Saccharomyces cerevisiae S288C: one gene and its partners. The protein of the gene in region 2 binds, or shares a complex with, the protein of the main gene of each other region. Each region holds a gene or a part of one and is shown on either strand. Other genes may lie near its edges. A codon is read from its position in the direction of its gene.

Evidence for each region. The genes of interacting proteins can lie anywhere in the genome.
Region 1: the proteins of PRI2 (region 2) and PRI1 are in contact, whole or in part, in a cryo-EM structure (PDB 8FOC), measured with the Saccharomyces cerevisiae proteins. Residues at the interface, in NP_012879.1 of Saccharomyces cerevisiae: Gln194 (codon at 3,930), Gln197 (codon at 3,921), Thr198 (codon at 3,918), Ser200 (codon at 3,912), Ala201 (codon at 3,909), Phe205 (codon at 3,897), Pro228 (codon at 3,828), Phe229 (codon at 3,825), Glu230 (codon at 3,822), Ile233 (codon at 3,813), Val236 (codon at 3,804), Gly237 (codon at 3,801), Arg239 (codon at 3,795), Val241 (codon at 3,789), Phe242 (codon at 3,786), Leu243 (codon at 3,783), Lys244 (codon at 3,780), Asp245 (codon at 3,777), Gly246 (codon at 3,774), Tyr247 (codon at 3,771); in NP_012273.1 of Saccharomyces cerevisiae: Arg149 (codon at 3,289), Glu150 (codon at 3,286), Asp151 (codon at 3,283), Phe152 (codon at 3,280), Gly153 (codon at 3,277), Tyr154 (codon at 3,274), Arg175 (codon at 3,211), Leu179 (codon at 3,199), Gln183 (codon at 3,187), Asn186 (codon at 3,178), Val187 (codon at 3,175), Tyr190 (codon at 3,166), Arg195 (codon at 3,151), Lys206 (codon at 3,118), Pro208 (codon at 3,112), Tyr209 (codon at 3,109), His210 (codon at 3,106), Pro211 (codon at 3,103), Ala214 (codon at 3,094).
Region 3: the proteins of PRI2 (region 2) and POL1 are in contact, whole or in part, in a cryo-EM structure (PDB 8FOD), measured with the Saccharomyces cerevisiae proteins. Residues at the interface, in NP_012879.1 of Saccharomyces cerevisiae: Thr71 (codon at 4,299), Leu72 (codon at 4,296), Glu73 (codon at 4,293), Arg140 (codon at 4,092), Ser141 (codon at 4,089), Lys142 (codon at 4,086), Glu143 (codon at 4,083), Ile272 (codon at 3,696), Tyr275 (codon at 3,687), Gln276 (codon at 3,684), Arg280 (codon at 3,672), Asp285 (codon at 3,657), Arg286 (codon at 3,654), His349 (codon at 3,465), Arg351 (codon at 3,459), Tyr352 (codon at 3,456), Tyr353 (codon at 3,453), Arg355 (codon at 3,447), Glu389 (codon at 3,345), Lys390 (codon at 3,342), Lys393 (codon at 3,333), Glu394 (codon at 3,330), Tyr395 (codon at 3,327), Arg409 (codon at 3,285), Lys413 (codon at 3,273), Ser422 (codon at 3,246), Pro424 (codon at 3,240), Arg425 (codon at 3,237), Pro426 (codon at 3,234), Gly427 (codon at 3,231); in NP_014297.3 of Saccharomyces cerevisiae: Glu852 (codon at 4,357), Lys853 (codon at 4,354), Gly854 (codon at 4,351), Leu855 (codon at 4,348), His856 (codon at 4,345), Lys857 (codon at 4,342), Asn858 (codon at 4,339), Asp891 (codon at 4,240), Leu893 (codon at 4,234), Lys964 (codon at 4,021), Met968 (codon at 4,009), Asn972 (codon at 3,997), Arg975 (codon at 3,988), Met979 (codon at 3,976), Gln983 (codon at 3,964), Glu986 (codon at 3,955), Ser987 (codon at 3,952), Asn989 (codon at 3,946), Leu991 (codon at 3,940), Asp1003 (codon at 3,904), Pro1099 (codon at 3,616), Glu1100 (codon at 3,613), Leu1103 (codon at 3,604), Gln1104 (codon at 3,601), Tyr1107 (codon at 3,592), Glu1111 (codon at 3,580), Glu1227 (codon at 3,232), Glu1275 (codon at 3,088), Lys1365 (codon at 2,818), Asp1382 (codon at 2,767).

Annotation. Positions count from the first base shown.
Region 1 is NC_001141.2:370,574-376,258, forward strand, and holds PRI1 (DNA primase subunit PRI1), read right to left. Parts: upstream 3,734-5,685; coding exon 2,504-3,733; downstream 1-2,503. Other genes in the region: EGH1 (hydrolase), read left to right, coding at 131-2,425; U2 snRNP complex subunit MSL1, read left to right, coding at 3,952-4,287; MIND complex subunit DSN1, read left to right, coding at 4,858-5,685. UniProt on the Saccharomyces cerevisiae protein: DNA primase is the polymerase that synthesizes small RNA primers for the Okazaki fragments made during discontinuous DNA replication. In a complex with DNA polymerase alpha (DNA polymerase alpha:primase) constitutes a replicative polymerase.
Region 2 is NC_001143.9:351,628-358,001, reverse strand, and holds PRI2 (DNA primase subunit PRI2), read right to left. Parts: upstream 4,510-6,374; coding exon 2,923-4,509; downstream 1-2,922. Other genes in the region: PHD1 (Phd1p), read right to left, coding at 154-1,254; MMO1 (Mmo1p), read right to left, coding at 1,360-1,680; DCW1 (putative mannan endo-1,6-alpha-mannosidase), read left to right, coding at 5,378-6,374. UniProt on the Saccharomyces cerevisiae protein: DNA primase is the polymerase that synthesizes small RNA primers for the Okazaki fragments made during discontinuous DNA replication. In a complex with DNA polymerase alpha (DNA polymerase alpha:primase) constitutes a replicative polymerase.
Region 3 is NC_001146.8:428,484-436,996, reverse strand, and holds POL1 (DNA-directed DNA polymerase alpha catalytic subunit POL1), read right to left. Parts: upstream 6,911-8,513; coding exon 2,504-6,910; downstream 1-2,503. Other genes in the region: AVT4 (Avt4p), read right to left, coding at 1-1,998; MET4 (Met4p), read right to left, coding at 7,244-8,513. UniProt on the Saccharomyces cerevisiae protein: Catalytic component of DNA polymerase alpha, which in complex with DNA primase (DNA polymerase alpha:primase) constitutes a replicative polymerase. POL1 has a role in promoting telomere replication during interaction with CDC13.

The DNA.
Region 1 (5,685 bases), on a different chromosome or scaffold from region 2:
TTAATATTAATTCTATATTTCGCAATAATTCTACTGACAGTTATTTTCTTAACCTTTCTTCTCTTTTTTTATTTATTTATTTCTTTTTCTTTCGTACCTAAATTGTTTGAATTTAATAAGAACAGATCATATGCCTGCCAAAATACACATTTCTGCAGACGGTCAGTTTTGCGATAAAGATGGCAACGAGATCCAATTGCGTGGTGTCAATTTGGATCCGTCAGTTAAAATCCCTGCAAAGCCATTCCTATCCACCCACGCTCCCATAGAAAATGACACGTTTTTCGAGGATGCTGATAAAGTCAGTTTCATCAATCACCCCTTAGTTCTTGATGATATCGAACAGCATATCATCAGATTGAAATCACTGGGTTACAATACCATTCGTTTACCCTTCACCTGGGAATCTCTTGAACATGCTGGTCCAGGACAGTACGATTTTGACTATATGGATTATATCGTCGAGGTACTAACCAGGATTAACAGCGTACAACAAGGTATGTACATTTATTTGGACCCTCACCAAGACGTCTGGTCTAGGTTTAGCGGTGGATCTGGAGCACCGCTATGGACCTTATACTGTGCAGGGTTTCAACCTGCAAACTTCCTGGCCACCGATGCTGCAATCTTACATAATTATTATATTGACCCCAAAACGGGCAGGGAAGTTGGCAAAGATGAAGAGTCCTACCCTAAGATGGTTTGGCCTACAAACTACTTCAAACTGGCGTGTCAAACAATGTTTACGTTATTCTTTGGTGGGAAACAATATGCTCCTAAGTGCACAATTAATGGAGAAAACATACAGGATTACTTGCAAGGAAGGTTTAATGATGCAATCATGACACTGTGCGCAAGAATTAAAGAAAAGGCTCCTGAGTTGTTTGAGAGCAACTGCATTATTGGATTAGAGTCTATGAACGAGCCAAACTGTGGTTACATTGGTGAAACAAATCTCGATGTGATTCCGAAAGAGAGAAATTTGAAATTGGGCAAAACGCCAACGGCATTTCAAAGCTTTATGCTGGGTGAAGGTATTGAGTGCACAATAGATCAATATAAAAGGACATTTTTTGGATTTTCTAAGGGAAAACCGTGCACAATCAATCCCAAAGGCAAAAAAGCTTGGCTGAGTGCAGAGGAAAGAGATGCGATAGATGCGAAGTATAATTGGGAAAGGAACCCTGAATGGAAACCAGACACTTGCATTTGGAAACTCCATGGTGTTTGGGAGATTCAGAATGGTAAACGCCCTGTTTTACTCAAACCAAATTACTTTAGCCAACCTGATGCAACGGTATTTATAAACAATCATTTTGTTGACTATTACACTGGAATTTATAACAAGTTTAGGGAATTCGATCAAGAATTGTTTATTATAATCCAACCGCCGGTAATGAAGCCACCACCCAATTTACAAAATTCTAAAATATTGGACAATAGGACGATTTGTGCATGTCATTTTTATGATGGTATGACACTAATGTATAAGACATGGAATAAACGAATTGGCATAGACACCTATGGACTAGTAAACAAAAAATACTCAAATCCTGCCTTTGCTGTAGTGCTTGGCGAAAACAATATACGGAAATGCATTAGGAAGCAATTATCAGAAATGCAAAAGGACGCTAAATCCATGCTTGGAAAAAAAGTACCTGTATTCTTCACCGAAATTGGTATTCCATTTGACATGGACGACAAGAAAGCATATATTACAAATGACTATTCTTCACAGACCGCTGCATTGGATGCTCTTGGATTTGCATTAGAAGGAAGTAATCTTTCGTACACCTTATGGTGTTATTGCAGTATTAATTCACATATATGGGGTGACAATTGGAACAATGAAGATTTTTCGATTTGGTCCCCGGATGACAAACCACTCTATCACGATACCCGAGCAAAAACTCCTACTCCTGAGCCATCTCCAGCCTCTACTGTGGCTTCGGTATCCACTTCTACATCTAAATCGGGTTCTTCACAACCACCAAGTTTCATAAAACCAGATAATCATTTAGATTTGGATAGTCCCTCGTGCACTTTAAAGAGCGACTTGTCAGGGTTCAGAGCTCTTGATGCTATAATGAGACCATTCCCCATACAAATTCACGGAAGATTTGAGTTTGCTGAGTTTAACTTATGTAATAAATCCTACCTTTTGAAATTAGTTGGTAAAACGACACCTGAACAGATAACTGTCCCTACATATATTTTTATACCACGGCACCATTTTACACCAAGCCGGTTGTCAATTCGTTCATCATCAGGTCATTATACCTATAACACTGACTACCAGGTTCTTGAATGGTTTCACGAGCCTGGCCATCAGTTCATTGAAATTTGCGCAAAATCGAAGTCAAGGCCCAACACCCCTGGAAGTGACACTTCGAATGACTTACCAGCGGAATGCGTTATCAGCTAAACAAAAATTGAACCAAAAGCTATAGTAGTCATATATATATATATACACCCTTTTTATTGTTACAAAAAGATTTCACCATCAGAAATCTAAAGAAGCCGGTTCATCATCATCTTCACGTTCTCTTTTCACTGAACCCAGTTCATTTTTCAAAAGAGAACTCACATATGCTTGGAACTGATTGATAAAAGGTTGTAAAGCTGTTAATGAAACATCATTATTTTTCTCCATTTCTGTTTGAAGATCAATTAGCTTAGGTGCTTTTTCAGGTGCAAAGGATTCATCAATAGGCACACAGACATTCCCCGTAGCAGGATGAATACAAAAAGGGGCCTTTAACAAATGAATTGTTTGCTTTGTAACTTCCACATCCAGCTTCGGATAAAGAGTCATCAATACGAGATCTTCCTTACATTCACGTAACTTAATTATGTGAGAGTCTTGCTTGGGGCCTTTGAAGAGCGATGTAGCTATCTGATCTATATCATTCCACTTCTCTTTGCTTGACCTCCTTGGATTGTCCAGCCAATACTTCTTTAATGAATCAATCAATTGTTTATCATATAATGCAGGCAATAAAGTTTGGATAGCATGTTGGTCATCTTCCCAAGGATTTTGCTCTTCGAGCATAATGCTGACAAAGAAAGGTTTCAATTGCTCCAAAGAACGAGCAAGATGAGGGTGATAAGGCCTCTTCAAAGCCAATCGCTTGTCAGTATTTCTGTCTCTAATCACGTTGACATAATCTAAAACGTTTCTTCGTTGTACATCCGTCAAAGCCCGTGCCCGTTTGTCGCTTACCCAACAATGAGCACCACGTCTACCTGAAAATACCCAGATGAAGTCCTTATAACCAAAATCCTCTCTTAGGGCCGTGTTCGTAATTTTCATTGCCAAAGATATAAATTTCCAGCACTTAGAGCAAACTTGGGCTCCGGAGCAACACGTTCTGAAGGCATCGTAATCATCCATATCAATATCAAACACCAACTCCTTCTCTAAAGCTTTCAATTCGCTTTTTAATAGAGTATCACGTTCTCTTGGCGGTTTGTTATATATGGCACCGATTTCAAATCTGTCTGGGTTGGCTTTTTCTATTTGTGCTTTGAAATCTTGCACAGAGTTAAAAGAATTATACCTTTTGTAAGCACCTGACCTGAACGCCATAGCGAATTCTCTGTTAATCATATCCCTAGAAGGTTTGGGCGAATGATTCAGCCAGTTGAAAATGTGTTTGAATGGATAGAGCGACTTATAGTAGTACTCCATGTCTGAGGAGCTTGGCCCATTAGTCTTTACTGAATTGGTCATGATGTTTATAAAACAGTTTTTTGAGTTGCTAAAACTAATTTTTGCTAGTATTATGGCACGCTTTTCTCTTCAGCTTCAAAGTATTTTTGATTAATTTTTTATCTTTTTGGCGTTATGAAACTTTTCAACTGAAAGAAAACAATAGGTAAAAGTGGCAAAGGGCACTGACCGAGCAACTGTTTCGAAACTCACGCATCATTCACACGTAGGATATAGTAATGGTTGAACCAGCAAGGAAAAAGCAGAGGATTGATCGCGATACTCATCACACTGTGGCTGAACCAGTAACGGAAGCTAAAAATACGCTGTACGTGAGCCAGCTTAATGAAAAAATTAATATGCAACGACTGCGAGTAAACCTTTTTTTGCTCTTTGCTACGTTTGGAGAGGTACTGAAGGTTAGCATGAATTTCAAGAAACAGCGGGGCCAAGCCTTTATCACCATGAGAACCATCGACCAGGCCAGTCTGGCCCAGATTTCATTAAACGGCGAGCGATTCTTTGGTAAGCCTTTGAAAGTTGAGTTCAGCAAGAGTGAAACTAAAACACTATGACTGGCTTAACGCTCTATTCATAGCAGCACGTATATACCGAGAAGAGCTGCCATAGGGGCACATCAAAGTCAAGAGCGCAGAACCAAACCAAAATGTTTATATCCAAACAACCCGGCGTTATAGATGGTCGTCAACGGACAAATAATATCAAGGCATGTATCAATATGGAGTAGATATAGAATCTACAAAAATCTGTAGCAGAAAGAGTCTCCCGAAAAGACATACTGCAGAACGGCCGCTTATTCCTCACTTCAATTGCTTAAATAATACAAAGGGCAAACCACAGAGTACCCCATTGCCAAAAGACGTTTATTACATTTTGGAAGTGATAATTTAGTATATAAGACAGCTTACTATATGATGAATTACAGTGTAGTTCAGCGTTTATATGTGGCTTCGTTTAAAATGATATATATTTCTAGTAAAAGCAAAAATTCACAAATGATAAACAAATCAAAATAAACATCAAAAGAACCGCCAATTGATAAAAGCACAAAGTACCAGGCAGAGTTGTGAAACCGGGCCTCTTCTATTGTACCACACACAAATTTTTCTTTATTTAGGTAGAGGATGAGTCTGGAACCCACACAAACGGTCTCCGGTACGCCGCCGATGCTGCATCAAAGAACACACAAACAAGTATACCCATTGCGGATGGAAACTATCCCAATATTGGAATCCGACTCCAAGGCTACTCTACAAAGCAACGAGCCCACCCAGAAAGATGAGGAGGAGACCGAATATTTTGAGAATAAACAATCCGTGTCGAATTTGAGCCCCGATTTGAAATTCAAACGACACAAGAATAAACATATCCAGGGGTTCCCTACTCTGGGCGAAAGGCTGGATAACCTGCAAGATATAAAAAAGGCCAAGAGAGTGGAGAATTTCAATTCTTCTGCGCCAATTGCTGACGACAATCATAGTGGAGATGCGACTGCAAATGCGACTGCAAATGCGACTGCAAATGCGACTGCGAATGTTAATGCAAGTGCAATGCCCGCTCCATATATGCCTTATTACTATTACTACCATCCGATGAATGCACCAACTCCTGCAATGATACCATATCCTGGATCACCAATGCATTCGATTATGCCCAACTCCTCATTACAGCCCTTTTATTCGCAACCCACTGCTGCAGGCGGTCCCGATATGACTACTCCCCAAAATATATCTTCATCACAACAATTGCTGCCAGCTCCGCAATTGTTTCCGTACGGATCATTCCATCAACAACAACTTCAGCAACCACACTACATTCAACGAACAAGGGAAAGGAAAAAATCAATCGGAAGTCAGAGAGGTAGAAGATTGTCTATGTTAGCATCTCAAGCTAATGGGGGAAGCACTATTATATCTCCGCACAAGGATATTCCTGAAGAGGATTTTTACACC
Region 2 (6,374 bases):
TTACAATTTTTTTTTTTATGTCCGTTATTTATATTTATATATCGAGTAACTACAGAAGTTCGACCGTAAAAATGATTGTACGAATCCTATCAGCCTTTCTAGAACTTCGGTTCTTGTTCATAGAGCAAAGAGTTAACGGATTATGTTATGTGCTTATGATAATTCATTTTTTGCTCTACTTGTTTGGGCCTCAGTATCGATATGGTTGATTTTTAAGTGGGGCAGTTCGCCAGCACCCTGAGTAGATGCTCCATTCGATAAAGCATCAATACTCTTCGGCTTAATTTCAGTAGCAATTTCGTGTTTATTATCAGATGGTTCTTGCTTGATGGGGGCAGGGCTAGATTTGGGGGTCAAAGATGCCTTGTTGCTGGGCTTTCTGGCATCAACAATGGATTCTATATCTTTGACGAAGAGCGGGTACAGATGATCTAGAATCTGTTCACGTTGAGCCAGGATATAAGCCCTTTCGAAAGGAATCCAAACACCCTTGAGGTGCATGGAGCCAATCTTCACGACTTCCCTAACCTTCTCGGATCTTAATATTCCATCCCTTCTCCCCCTTGTCATCTTCGTGACATTCAACAACTTGGTGCCGTTAATCATGTTGTTGTCAGCCCTACGCACGACTGATATACCGTTCGCCTCTACTTGGTAGCAGATAGTATTCTCATCTTCCCACATCGTAGTTATAACGCGTGGTTTGAGAACTGACGTTGAACTGACGCCAGGTGTTCTTGTTGTTGCTGTCACTGTTGGTGACGCTGCTGCTATTGATTTAAGGTTATTTGGACGTGCGACGCTAGTATCATTAGTGTTTTGAATGATTGGAGGCAACTCTGTGTGAGGATGTAAGGTGTTCAAGAATGATCCATCAAATTGAACCTCTGGAGGCATCACTGCCATCACAGGGAAAGAAGATGGTTGGAAATTGCTGTTGGGAATGGTGGCATAAGGAAGTACAGCTTGTTGATATGGAGATTGTGGTTGTTGTGGATATGTGGGAAAAGGCACAGCATAATAGCGACAATAATACCCTGATTTAGCCTGAGTTGGCGACGTAGCTAATTGGGCAACATTAGCATATGCGTTTGGAGTTTCGCGTTGGACGAATGGAAGATTGATTGTACTCTGGTGTGATAGCTCGTTAAACGAAGGAAGGGTATTGTCGTAACTTCTGGTGGGTGTTATTGCGGCGTTAGATTGAGTGTTCACCAGGGGGTAATGTAGCCTCATTTCAGGAACATGGTACATATTTTCTGCTTAATGAATTATGAATTCCAGCAAAGAAAAAGAAGTAATGGTCTTATTAAAGTATAATGTCAAGAAGAAGAAGTTGAAAAGAAGAGAACCACAAAGTTATAGGCTGGGAACTGAGGGGAGATATGTAAGGTGGTGAGAAACACACAATAGAACGAGAGCGACTGCTTGATTGATTTGATGTATTGTTCGAGCTGTAGAGTTCTTCCTATATGGAAACAAAAAAAAAAGGAAAAATGGGGAGGGGTTTTTAATGAGTATGGCCGCCTTCTTTTGCAAACGAAAGAGGGAAAAAAAAGTAGGGAACTGTACGAAAGGGAAATTAATTTTATATGCAGAGAGATGCATCCATATATATATAATTCTGGCTCTCCTTTCTGACATCCTCGCACTCGAAAACGTCATAATTACGTAACCCATTCTGAGCTTGATTTTGCCTACGCTACCTGGGCCACAGGCGTTTCCGTAACTTGAAACAGGAACAGTTAAGAAAACGTCGTATGTGCAAGAATTATGTTTCCACACTCTTACATAATGGCCTGTCAAGAATAATACCCGTTTGCATGAAAACTAAATATCGAAATAAAAAAACAAAAGAAGAAAATTGGTCTCGCAGAAAAAAGCCCGTAGACCGCAGCGTTGCATTCTTCCCTTTTACCTAATATGAAGTTATCGTTCATTCCGCAACATTCTAACTTATTCCCGTGAGGGGTGGGCGTGCGATTGGAATTAGTCTTTACAATTTGTAAGCTCTACAGCAACTTATGGGTGGGCACGCACTGTCCCTAATATTTATCATCGCATCGTGCAAATCCGTCTACGCAGTATCTAACTTCGAGTGGGCTGATTTTGCATGTAACGTTATTGTGGCTGCTTTTTTAGTCTTCGAAAGAGCCGACCGCGTTTATCCTAGACGAAGGGGTGCCGTTTTAGGTCCACGGAAAGATAAAGACGATATCCATCAATAATATCGCACGAAGTCTAATCAGGGAGCGGTGCAAAATAGTCTTCTATACTTTTTAGTCACAGAATACCTGCATAAGGAAATATTAGATCTTCCCGGTTTTTTACTTCCGCTCTTGAAAACCGGATCCTCGAGGTTGCATCACGGCATTACCAAATCGGTGAGATACTGTCCCTCCCATGCGTTTTAAAGGCCAGCCACGTATCCAGAAAACGCAGCACCTGCATTTTTTGGTGGCGGAGGCTATGCTGGAAAAGGTAGTTCTTCCACTGCAGTAACTTCTGCCACAGTAAATTGGCGTGGATAGGCCCTGCAACATATTGCAGGTTTAAACGGAAAGTGTCCCCGCTTGTAATGGAAGAAAACGGTAAATTTTAATGAAGTGTACAGGCATAAAAGACAGGCGGTTAGTTGTTCTGTGTTGCCTGTCACAGAGGAACAGCGCGATAGCTTGCAGCCACAAAATTATAAGGTTTCTCTGGCCAGCTATTAAAGTATGAAAAAATTCGGACAATATACATATCTCGGACGTTTTCGGAGCAGTGCAGTCACTGGTATTGTACAGCGTTTATCGTTTCTCTTTTTTTTTTTTTTTCTCACTAAAGAAAATTTTTGACCATACTTACAGTAGACTAAATTACGTATACTATTAATCCTTTTTAGTTATCTCTTCGCTTTTTTCCTTTTCCCTTTCTGCACTAATGATTACCATTATTGAATAGTTTTTCCTTTTCCAGCTTCTGCTGTTTCTTTTGCAGTTGCCTTGATCTTTCGAAGTATAGGTTAGGATGCGCGATATGCGTTTGCTCGCCAATTTCCAAATCCGCTGATGCAGAGTTGTGTGTCATTTCAAACACTTTAGTGCAAGCAATTGTGTATTCACCTTTCTGGCAGGAATCCAGAACACTGATGATCTGCGCTTGGGTCAACTTCATAGAGCGCAATTCTGCAGATAGTCTCTCGTGACTCCAATCACGGAAAGGGCATCCATGATAATCTCCGCGCCCAGGTCTGGGCTTGGAAAGGATAGTGTGACAGTCCCATGGTTTGTAGTTGATTCTGTTACCTTCAAGACCGTAATTATGCCTGAAGCTGTAACGGTATTCTTTATTGAACTTCTCCATTGTCATGTTCCCATTTCTTGTAAATGCCTCAGACCAAAATTTTAACGCTTCATCAGCGCTCAGGCCGATACCTTTCAAAAACAGACTCAGTTGTTGTCTCCCATAATACCTCAAATGATGGTTCTTTTTAAGACCCTCCATCAGGTTTTTGATACATAGCGGATAGTTTGAGCTAATCTCTTCAGACCAGACACTTTGCGCATTAATCTCATCATCTACGTTCTCACTGAATTGGTTTGCCTTTTGCTGGTTGAAATCCGCGATAGTGTACCCCGACGAAAGATGATTTAGAATTGGTAACAACCGGTCATCCTCATTCAGTCTTGGTAAGTACTGGTACGTTTTTATTAACTCCTGGTTCAATTTGCTAGCAAACTCATTAGAAAGTAAATTCAATTGCTGGAATTGTGGTAAATATGCGTACCCGTCCTTCAAAAACACTAAACGGTTTCCTACCAGTTCTATCACATTTTCGAAAGGTAATTTTATGAATTTTTCCTGTTGGAAATACTGTTTTCTTTGATGTTCCTCGTTTAAATTCAATTGGAACTGTAGAGACGCAGAAACTGTTTGATACAACTGATGAGATAATTCGGCCTTTTCTTCATTTGAGATAAACTGTAGTAAGGGTAAGTCCAATGATTGAACAAATTTTGTTTGATCGGTGGAGGTTAGCATGTTAAATCTAATTTTGAACAAAAACGTTTCAGCCCTGACGAATTTTTCCCGCAGTTCTTTTGAACGACAAAAGCACAATCTTAAAATGAAATGAGAGTAGTAATCCTTTTTTCTGTCTTCTAAACTCTCTGTGTTGAAAGGCAGTAGTTTTTGGAACTGCGGCTTGATAATGGTTTCAATTTCTTTGATCGATTTGTTTCTTGAAAGGCAAGATTCGATCTCTAACAGAATTTTGAGACGATCGATTGCCCAGATCTCAAATTGTTCCAACGTTATTTCTCCCTGTGGTGGTAAATCGTAAAATGATAATTTAGACTCATACAGCCTAGCGTAAAGTTTTTTCTCTTCTTCAGATGAACTTGAACTTAAGATGATCTGGTTAGCTGCATTTGTGTTGCCTACGTCCAATTCGCTTTTGACAATATCATCGTATGAACTAAAATTCTTCCTTGAGGCAATTCTTCTTTTTGACTGCCTGAACATTTCTTCTCCTTATTGTGCTTTACCTGCTGTCACTGGTTGCTCCACCTGGGTAGTTATCAGTCCTGTCAAAGTTGTGCAAATTGGAGAGATGTAGATAGTAAAAAATTTACTTTTGCAAAATCACAGGATTTAATATCGAGTTTTACGCGATTCCCCGCGACGCGTAATTTCAAATCAAGTTAACTATAAATGAGCAGGAAAAAGCAAATAGAGTGAGCAGCAGATATGTAAGGCAATATTGAAACAAGAAGAGACCTGTCGTATCACCTTTGGCCTGATAAAAACAGTGTTTCCATGTCTGTCTGTAGCAGCGGAAACAATCCTACGCCGTGCTTCTGGGCTCTTGATGATGTAAGATGTTCCGTTTCATGAACGCACTGGATCTCAGCTTATAACTGTTGGTTCAGAAAAATTCAATCATTTATTTAAAGAATGTACCGTACGATGAATATACGCTATAAATGCTTCCATATATGTATAAGTGTATCGTACTATATTCGTAGCGGTGTCCCGTCACCCGGTTTTGCACCCGTTCGAGGCGCGATTTAATTTCGTACATCCAGAAAGAAAACTGGCAGATGGAAATAAAGCTCGGATTTCATGATGATCATAGGTACTCTTTGTATAATGGGCTCATCTATTATATATTCACTGTTACTGTGTTGATACTCATATTTTATAAGCAGCTTAATAGGTGTGCGAACGGGAGGATTTTTGGTAAAAAGAGGCTTAAATTACAAGATACGAAAGGGTCAAAACGCTAGGGAAACCTTTCCAGGACATATAATAGTGGATACAACAAAATACACACCACTTTTTTTCTGAGCTTTCTTTCTTTTCAGTCTGTTTTAAAAACGAACACATAAAAATGCTAGTAAATAAAGTGATAGGGTTACTGGGTGTACTCTTCGCAACAAGATTTACAAATGCCGTCGAATTGGATCTAGACAACTACGAATCTTTGCAAAATGCTACTTCACTAATTGCCTACGGTTTAATGGATTATTACACTGGTAATCAGTATGGTAAGACGGTCGGTATGTTTTCAGATCCGTACTATTGGTGGGAAGCCGGTGGTGCCTGGGGCTGTATGCTAGATTACTGGTTTTTCATGGATAACGACACCTATAATGATGAAATTATAGCAGCAATGATACATCAAGCTGGTGATGATAATGACTATATTCCGCTAAATCAATCTACCACTGAAGGTAATGATGACCAAGCCTTTTGGGGTATTGCTGCTATGACTGCCGCGGAGAGAAACTTTACTAATCCTCCCGAGAATGAGCCTCAATGGCTATATTTAGCACAGGCTGTTTTCAATACCATGGCTTTGCGTTGGGATGCCGATTCCTGTGGTGGTGGTTTGAGGTGGCAAATTTTCGTTTGGAACTCTGGTTACGATTACAAGAACACCGTTTCTAACGGTGCCTTGTTTCACATAGCTGCAAGATTAGCAAGATATACAGGTAATCAAACATATGTTGACTGGGCCGAAAAAGTTTACGAGTGGATGGTCGGTGTGAACTTAATTTCTAATGGTACCTATAAGTATGTTTACGATGGTGTCAGCATTGATGATAATTGCACCAAAGTGACCTCATATCAATGGACATATAATCAAGGTTTGCTGTTGGCTGGCTCTGCCTACCTTTACAACTTTACGGGATCAGACCTCTGGCACACAAGAACCAAAGAGTTTTTGAACGCTTCCCAAGTGTTTTTCCATGATGGTATTGTGTATGAAGCTGCTTGTCAAGGTCCAAATTCTTGTAATACAGATCAACGTTCCTTCAAAGCCTATTTTGCCCGTTTCTTAGGTGTCACTGCACAACTAGTGCCAGAAACTAGGAACCAAATTA
Region 3 (8,513 bases), on a different chromosome or scaffold from region 2:
TGGGTATATATATACCAAAGGAATACAGGCGAGGGATCCTATAACTGAAACGAACTTGTCTAAATTATCAGACCCAAAGTAAGCAATTGATACAACAATGATTACGATTATAGAACGAATAAAGTTCTTCAGCCATTTAATTTTCCAGTTCAGCTTTCCTGAATTAGGACGTAATTCGACTCTTGTTGTTAGATCATCGTGCTTGACATATATTTTAGTGAACTTTGGAAAAAACTTATTTTCAATAATTTTAATAGCTGGAAACAACTGCAAAGGTGTGGACAACATAATTGCGATGGAATAGAACAGCTGGATTAAGTTTACAAAAATGTTACTTTGAGGTAAGTTCAACAGTATAACCGTTTGAACATTTGAGCCGTATGCCAAATATCCCAATGTAGCTATGGAAATGAAAAGTATGGTTGCCGTTAGAATCACCAAAGCAAGTACTAAAGGAAATTTTTCAGGATTTCTCATTGAGTCTTGAACAGGAATAATTAACCCGATTCCTTCGAAAGCAAATATTGCCGTCCCGATAAACAGCGTCCAACGGTCTGCATTTAAGCCATAGACGACACCCATTGCTGGGGTCCCCATCAGGTCAAAAAACAACCTTTTGGCTGTAAAAATAATGACAATGACTAAACCAGCCATGATGAAAAAATTTGCTAGTAAAGATGGTAGTGACAATTTCGAAATGTTTCTAATAAACGAAAGTGGAATAAAAATGATCGTTTGAAAGACCATCAGGTAAGATAAAGGTAGGACGCCCACATGGAATACGTTATCAAGAAAAGCTTGTAAATTTTTTGCAGTAAATATCATATAAGCTCCAGAGAATCCAACTTGAGTTATTACTAGGGAGAAAAGAATTATTATTCTCATCCAAGGTCCATACAGTTTTAAACCAATATCACCAAAGGAGGATACACCGCATGAAGATTTGGCCTGCACCAATATGTAGTAACACCAGTATGAATAAATTCCAAAAAAGGCCAGCATACTTACTGAGAAAAACAAACCACCATTATGAAAGGCATTAGGTAAAAATAAAACGCCAGTTCCAATGAAAGATTTAAGCAATATCAAAAAAACCTTCTTTGTCGAAGTCGTACCTTTGGCTGAAGGTAATACTTTCATATGGTCAGGCCGAGACAGCAATGCACTCCTTTCATCTTCTCCGCGTATCATCATGTTTGAGCTATCAGGGATAAAATCATCCTCGAAGGATTCACCAGCAAAATGTCCAAACACGTATAGAAATTCCAAAAAGTTTCTTGTTAAAAAGGGGACCTTATCGATATCTTGGTTAGAAGATGGAGATGACTGGTTAATCGAATCGCTTTCATGCGAAGTGAAGTCTGAGCTAGCGGAATCATTTAATTGATGTTCTTGCCTTTTTTTGTTGACAATAAATTCCCTTCTGAAGCCACCGGGGACATTTAAACCACTTGCTGATGACAATTTAGTATGGTGCTCAATTTTAGGTGTTACATTTTCCATGGACCGAGGGCGTCTGAGCCGTTTAGGATCCTCTGCTTTAACCAACTTGTAAATATCATGCGTTATGTCGCCTCCAGCGCTACTCAGGTTAGTCTCATCGTCATCACTATCAACATTTGCTGCAGCTATGGTACTTGCTGAAGAATTCTTAGTCGGATTAACCCTAGGGATTGCTTCATTTCCATGAGAGACGGAACTTCTTTTGCTACTGTTCAAGTAGTTAAGCCGTACACTGTTTATAATCTCATCTCTGTGGGGATCCTCCAGAGTCTGAAAATTGGGAGAAGACATATCCACAAATACTCTAGAATCAACGCTTCGACATATATCCCTCGGCGTTAAGGTAGACATAGAATACTTCCTACTATAAAATGGGTTTGAATTGAGAACTGTTGATTGAGCCCTTCTGGGAATTTTCATATTATTGGAAGGATGCCTTAAATTTCCGTTTCTTCGGATCCCAAGGTGCTCACCATCTCCATTGTTAGTGACCATTGATGATGTGTTCTAGGATATTGTTATGTTGATTCCAGATTATGAATGACGTTGAAATGTGTTTTAGAGGAGGAATGATGAGTGCCTTTGAACCTAAGGAATCAGATGGCTAAAAATGCTATGTCACCTCGAAAGCAAGAGCAGATCAAGGTAAATGATATCCAACTATATTGTGGGTATTGCTTTTATCAAACTGGCTTATGACAGTGCTTCACAAGATTTAAGCATTCTATTTCATTGATGAAGCTGTTCGCTTATCTGATCTTGCTGATAAGGCGAATCTTAATGCATGGGTTTATTAAAGGATGATGCATGTGAGAACTGATCACCAGAGCCGAAAAAACATTCTCAGAATATCGCTGAAAACCTTCAATAATAAAAGCTTCCTAGCGCTCCTTCCGATGTCTGTACATTAGGTATCTAGTAGGATGCGTATGTACAGTTGTATTCTTTTCTTACTATATAGAATATTCATGAGATCACACAACACATACAAAATACTTACCTAATTTAGCATGAAATCAAATATGCTAGTCATATCAACGTAGCGACGTCCACAATCGTTCAAATATTTTTGAACAACGCTCCGGCCGGTTTCCATTAGTTCTCTGTTTTGTTCTGTTAAAGCCTTAATAGATGATTCTGTCAGCTGTTCCTTGGGGTAGTCGAGATCATCGGGTAGATATATTGGCTTCAATTCTTGCTTTTTATTTTTTTCACAATCGAATAAAGAATCGAAATATAAAAGTTGATTGTACAATTGCTTGTCACTGTATTTGTATCTCATGACACCCGTGCAGCCGTCATTCAAACAACGCTTACCAAAAACGGAGACTTGTCTTGTAACTATACCGCATGTGCTGTCATCACACTGTAACCACCCTGCGTAATATAAGGAAATGTGTGCCCTTATAGAATGCTCTATTTGGCTAGTTAATTGAAGAGGAGTAAAAAGTTGCTCACAATGCTTGCACTGTAAACCATTATATGACACGCGATAGTAATTTGAAGATACAATACCACCAAATGGAAACCTTTTATCGCATGATGGGCAACTTAATTCTAATGTTACAGTATCCTTAAACCTTTCAACGTCTGTAATTGTTGTTTCTAAGGGTTGCAAATTATTAATATCTTCTCCATTGTTATTACCGCCCTCTCTTCTAAAATACTTTTTACTATCTAAACCAAGCGCTTCACTCAAACGCACCACGTTGAAGCTATCAATTCTTTCTAACAACCTTTCTACCGGCGCGAATATTTGTTTCTCGAGATAATATTGTGGATCAGGTATCAAATTGTTACTTTTAATCATTACCTCATTCAATGCATGGGCACGTTCAGCCACAGAAAGAGCCGGCGTATCCGCTGCATTGTCTATTTCATCCTGCTTTGTGATCACAAAAGTGATGACAGAGCCAGCTTTAACAACTCTACCAGCCTTACGCATTCTTAGAGCTACTTGGACTGCAGGCATGTTTTTACCACCTGGGTAGGCCTTGGGATCTTTTGAAAGCTTCATATTGATCTTATATTTATCAATTCTAATGTTATTGGTTTCCACTTTTATTCTGATGTCTTCTAAGTAATCATACACTTCTTGCAATGCTTCTTCTGGGTCCTTATCTGACAGGATGGTGTTTAAAACATGTATAGAAACGTCCCTCGAAAGTGGACAAAATTCACGACGCTTCATGTCCAACCCTTTAACTTCTAGAACAGTAGTTCCATTACCATTTTTGTCCAAATTTACAGTCAAAGCAGCGTACTTTTTCTTGGCATGTAATAGTAACTTCTTAAAAACATTATCAATATCAATCTCCAATAATCTATAGCGCTCATTTACTAGCCTTTTAAATCCCAAGCCAATTTTAATTGCATCCGCATAATTATCACAACCGGTATCTATCATGACCGAATCTGTATCACCATAAACTACAAGAAGATTCATACTTTCAGCTAGTTGTCTTGTATTCATTAAAATCTCACGACCCTTATTAGTGACTAACATGGCGAGCGGCTTTGCGTAAAATCTACTGTTAACATAACCCAAACAACCATACATAGAATTGGCAGTCAATTTTAGAGCTTGTTGACGAATATCACATTGAACTCGCTTATGGGGATCAGTTTCAGTTTTCATCACCTTCTTAACTTCACGTCGACGATCCACCAGATTAGCTAATAACCTTGGTAAAACACCCTGATCCACCTCTGAAGGAGGTACGCTTGGTAACTCATCGATATCTTCCTTATTTCTATCAACGGTGGTAAAACATATATTAAATTCCTGGATAATAGATGGATACAAAGAATTAAAGTCCATGACTAAAACGTAATTCTTATGAAGACCTTTCTCAGGTTCAAAAACTAAACCACCCTGATATTTTGCCTTTTTAGAATTAACTGGTGCATCAGCATTTTCTTCATTTTGTCTTTGTTTCTGAGCTCTACTTCTATTGCCTTCTTTGTCAGGAACAATAAAACCATTTCTTGAAAATTCATGTAGTAAGATATACTCATTTCTACCAGCTCTTGTACCGCCTAGCGTTTGGGCCCATGCATTACCAGCCAAATTTGTCAACTGTTTAGTCAAGGTTAATAATTGAATTCTATAAGACACCTCAGCAGAAATCATACAATTAGTAATATTCTCTTGTAGGGCCATTGTCATACTATTTACATCATTTTGGTATTGTGGATTTTGATAATCAATATCTAACGGCTTATGCTCCTTTTCACATGTAACTTGATACATCTCTGAAAGATCCCAACTTTGACATTTGGGTGTTAATGATTGACCCATTTCATTGGCGATATCACATATCAGCCTACCAGAGCAAATGTCACTAATAAAAAAATGGTTCATATTCGAATTTCCTCTACCGAATTTTTCAGGCCAAGTCCTTCTTAAACGACGGCCAATAGAGCTGAACGTTGGAATGTTGAGATCATGCATTCTATGAGCTAAAACATCTAAGTAGACATTTTGCAAACGATGGCCTATGATAACATCTGGGTCTTCCACTTTTAACATAGCACAAAAACAAGATAGCATGGCCTTTTCGTTGTTGAACAACCTGACTCTACCGGGTAGTTTCTGTTTTGCCAGTGCAGCTAAACCTAATGGGAAACTAGTTGACTGAGGCGGCCTTACTAAAGTACACAAGTCGTCTGGTTTTATATTTTCAGGTATCGGTGAATCCAACGAGATATTTCTATATGCTGATAACGTTATCGAAACAATCTCTTGCTTATTTTCCTTGGGATTCATTAACGTCTGAATCGATAAAGATAGACATCTCAGATTAGGCATTGTCTTTGTTGTAGTAGGCGTGATATTCTGAGGCTTATCTACCGAAACTTCAACCGCACAGTGAGAAGCATTACGAATTGAATTGAAATCTGCTCCCTTTATATCTAACCAGCATGGTCCCATAATCCTATTTTGAATAACAAAACTTTCAAAAATATTGGAATTCCCACCAAAAACATGATAAAAGGTATCGCTAGATAAATCCGATGGAATGGTGTCTCGACTGGACTTCGGTGTTTGGTATGGAAGTAAGACTTTCAAATAATCACTTTCAGATGGAATGTCAGGAAGCTCAAACGAATATTTCATTTTTTGAGGTTTAGCGCGGATATTATCCAGTCCATATTTATCCATCAGTAACGGAATTATTTCCTCGTGTATATCGGTAGGTGTTTTACCCTCTCTTGGAAGGAAAAATAGCTCTCTACAGAGACCGTTGATTTGAACCATGGCTGACACACAATTATCATCCTTTAGTTTAACCTTACCAAATAAAATCAAAGTGTTGTTCACTTCACAGTAATCCAACCAAAACATTTGGAAAGTATCAGTTTCCGGATCTACCACATCTTCCTTTTTGACATTAACCGCAAGTGTAGCAACATCGGTGTTGCTCTGCAAAGATTTACTTGGAGTTAGTCCTTTAATACCGATTGGCGTTCCGGGTGCTGTGACAAACGGTGAAGTTGAAGGGTTACTTCTTGAGTCTATATTCACGCGTCTAGTTGTTGTCACACTTCTCATAGTTCTTCTTTTCAGAATAATATCTTCATCACTATCTTCATCATCTTCTTCATCAGCCAAACTTTGAGCGGATGGTGGATTTGCTAGTAACGTATCTTGAAGTACATTCTGTCTCTTTGTGGCTACTACTGGGGAATTTTCCACATCATCCAATAAATCCTGTACATCATTTGCGTAGCGCAGTTTCCTGCTTTGTAATTTTAACGGTGATGATTCGATTTCTAAATATTTATCAGTACTTGAATCTGGATCAATCTTGACTTTTTTAGAAATACCGGCATCATGACTTGACTCATCGTTTCCGTTAACTCTCTTTATTGACGATTTAAATTCACTAGTCGGCGAAGAATTTAAATTTTCCCTTAATTTGGATGGCAGTAAAATATTGGGTTTTTCTACTTCACCAGATTCAAACTCACCAAGAATGTCATCAAAATTATCGATGGGGATACTTTTTTTTTGGGATTTTTTTGCATGTGCTAGCAGTGTTGATTTGGAATGTTGAGTTCGCAGCATATCTGTAATCTGGTGGTCTTTCTCCCTTTTTATATTCTTCTTCCTTTTAGAATCCTTGCTAGCAAGGTTTCCAGTGTCTTCATCACTTGAACTGTTATCAACTTCCCTCCAATCTTCTTCGACACCACGATCGACGTAGCCTACACCATCGTCATCTACAACAAAATCGTCATGCAGCAATTCCTGGCGCTTTCTGGCCCTGTATTCTTTTTCGTCGATTTCGTCGTATATTCTGTCACCATCTGATTCGTCACCTTCGTAATCATCGATGGATGTACCATTTCGAGCGGCTTGCAGCTTTCTCAATTTTTCTAATTTTTCACTTTTAGAAGACATTTTCCACTGTTTATTTTATGCCTTGATACTATTTGGTTTCTAATAGCAGAGTGAAGACAGTTTTTTTTCTCGTGAGTCTGAATTGGTATGTGTTCGTTGTCTAGACCAAGAAGATATATATCATCCAATGAGTAAAGAATTTAATTCAGTAAAATTGGATACACGCGACGCGTTTTACTTATAGGCTAACAAAAAAATTTTAACGCGTTTGAATAGATGTGTGATGAATGAAGAATAGAGATTGCAGGCAGTACAAGAAAAAAGTTATATTTCTTTAAGAAAAATGCACGTATATATATATATATATATAATTAAACTGTATAGTCTGTTATTTTATTCTTTCTGAACCTTCTCAAAAATTTGCTTCTTTAAGCTTTCAGCTTTTTTTATTCCTTCCGTTTCACCGCTACTCAGAACTAAATTCTTTAAAAGCTTGTTTTCCGTTTCTAACGTATGTATCCGTTTTTGTAAGGATGCTGCAATTTCGGTCAGTTCATGTATCGATGATTCTAACTCCTTTTCCTTTAGTTTTTTTTTTTGATGAGATTTTTTCGACTGTATCAATAAATCTTCATCGTCGTCCCCTAACTCTTTCTTGATCAGTTGCTTCTTTTCAAAGCCGTGTAAATCTGCATCGTCATATTCATCGTCTTCATTATCAGAATACTTGCGGTCGACGGGTACTTTTTTATTTTTCAAATCTCCGGAGTGTGATCTTTTTAAACTATTTTCCTTGTGATCAGAAGAACTTGCATTTAAAGTTGGCTCGGATCGTATCTTGGCAATTTCGTCTCCACGCGTCGTACTTGACTTAATAACAGCGTTATTATGATGGACATTATCGTTTCCATTGTTACCGTCACTCTCTCTTGATATTTTATGATCGTTTCGTGAAGGTTGTCGTTGATTGTGAATATTATTACTTTTTGGATGCTTTATGCCCAGTTCCAAAATGGAGCTTAGAAAAGAAGCCTCTGCTACTACACCGTGCTCATTGAACGAAGGCGACGTTGATAAGGTAGTTGGCGCAGCAGTTTCAGCCGGAGAGGGTGGTATTAAGACACTTAAAAGTTCGTTGATGTTTTTTAGAATGGGTGCCTCTTGACTGTCATTGGTGTTGATGTTTTTATTATTATTACTGTTATTTTCCCTAATCTTTTTTTGATGATGATACGCCATTATTGCGGCTATAGCATCTATTTGATCATTGTCAAATCCCGCGCTGATCAACGAGTTATATGCGCCGTTGGGCACGTTGACCCTCGGTAATAGAGTTACTAAAACAGAGGTTGGTATAATTGAATAGTCAGGAACAGTTATATTGGGGGCTTTGTTGGAGCTGTTATTATCGCTGTTACTATCGACTTTGCTTTCCGAATGTTTTCGTTGTTGTGAAGAGGAATTTTGAGCAGAAGTGACATTGCTTAGGGGGGAGGAGCGGTTCGGTGTGTGTGTTGTCCTATGTAGTAGATTTGATAGCGCATCCACTCCATTGTCACCGGTAGTATTGTTCTCAGTTGATGTAATGTCAACATTTGTGAAGCCGCCATGGTCGATTGATGTCATATTAGTTGCGTCAGCGGGAAACTGAGAAGGGCTTCCC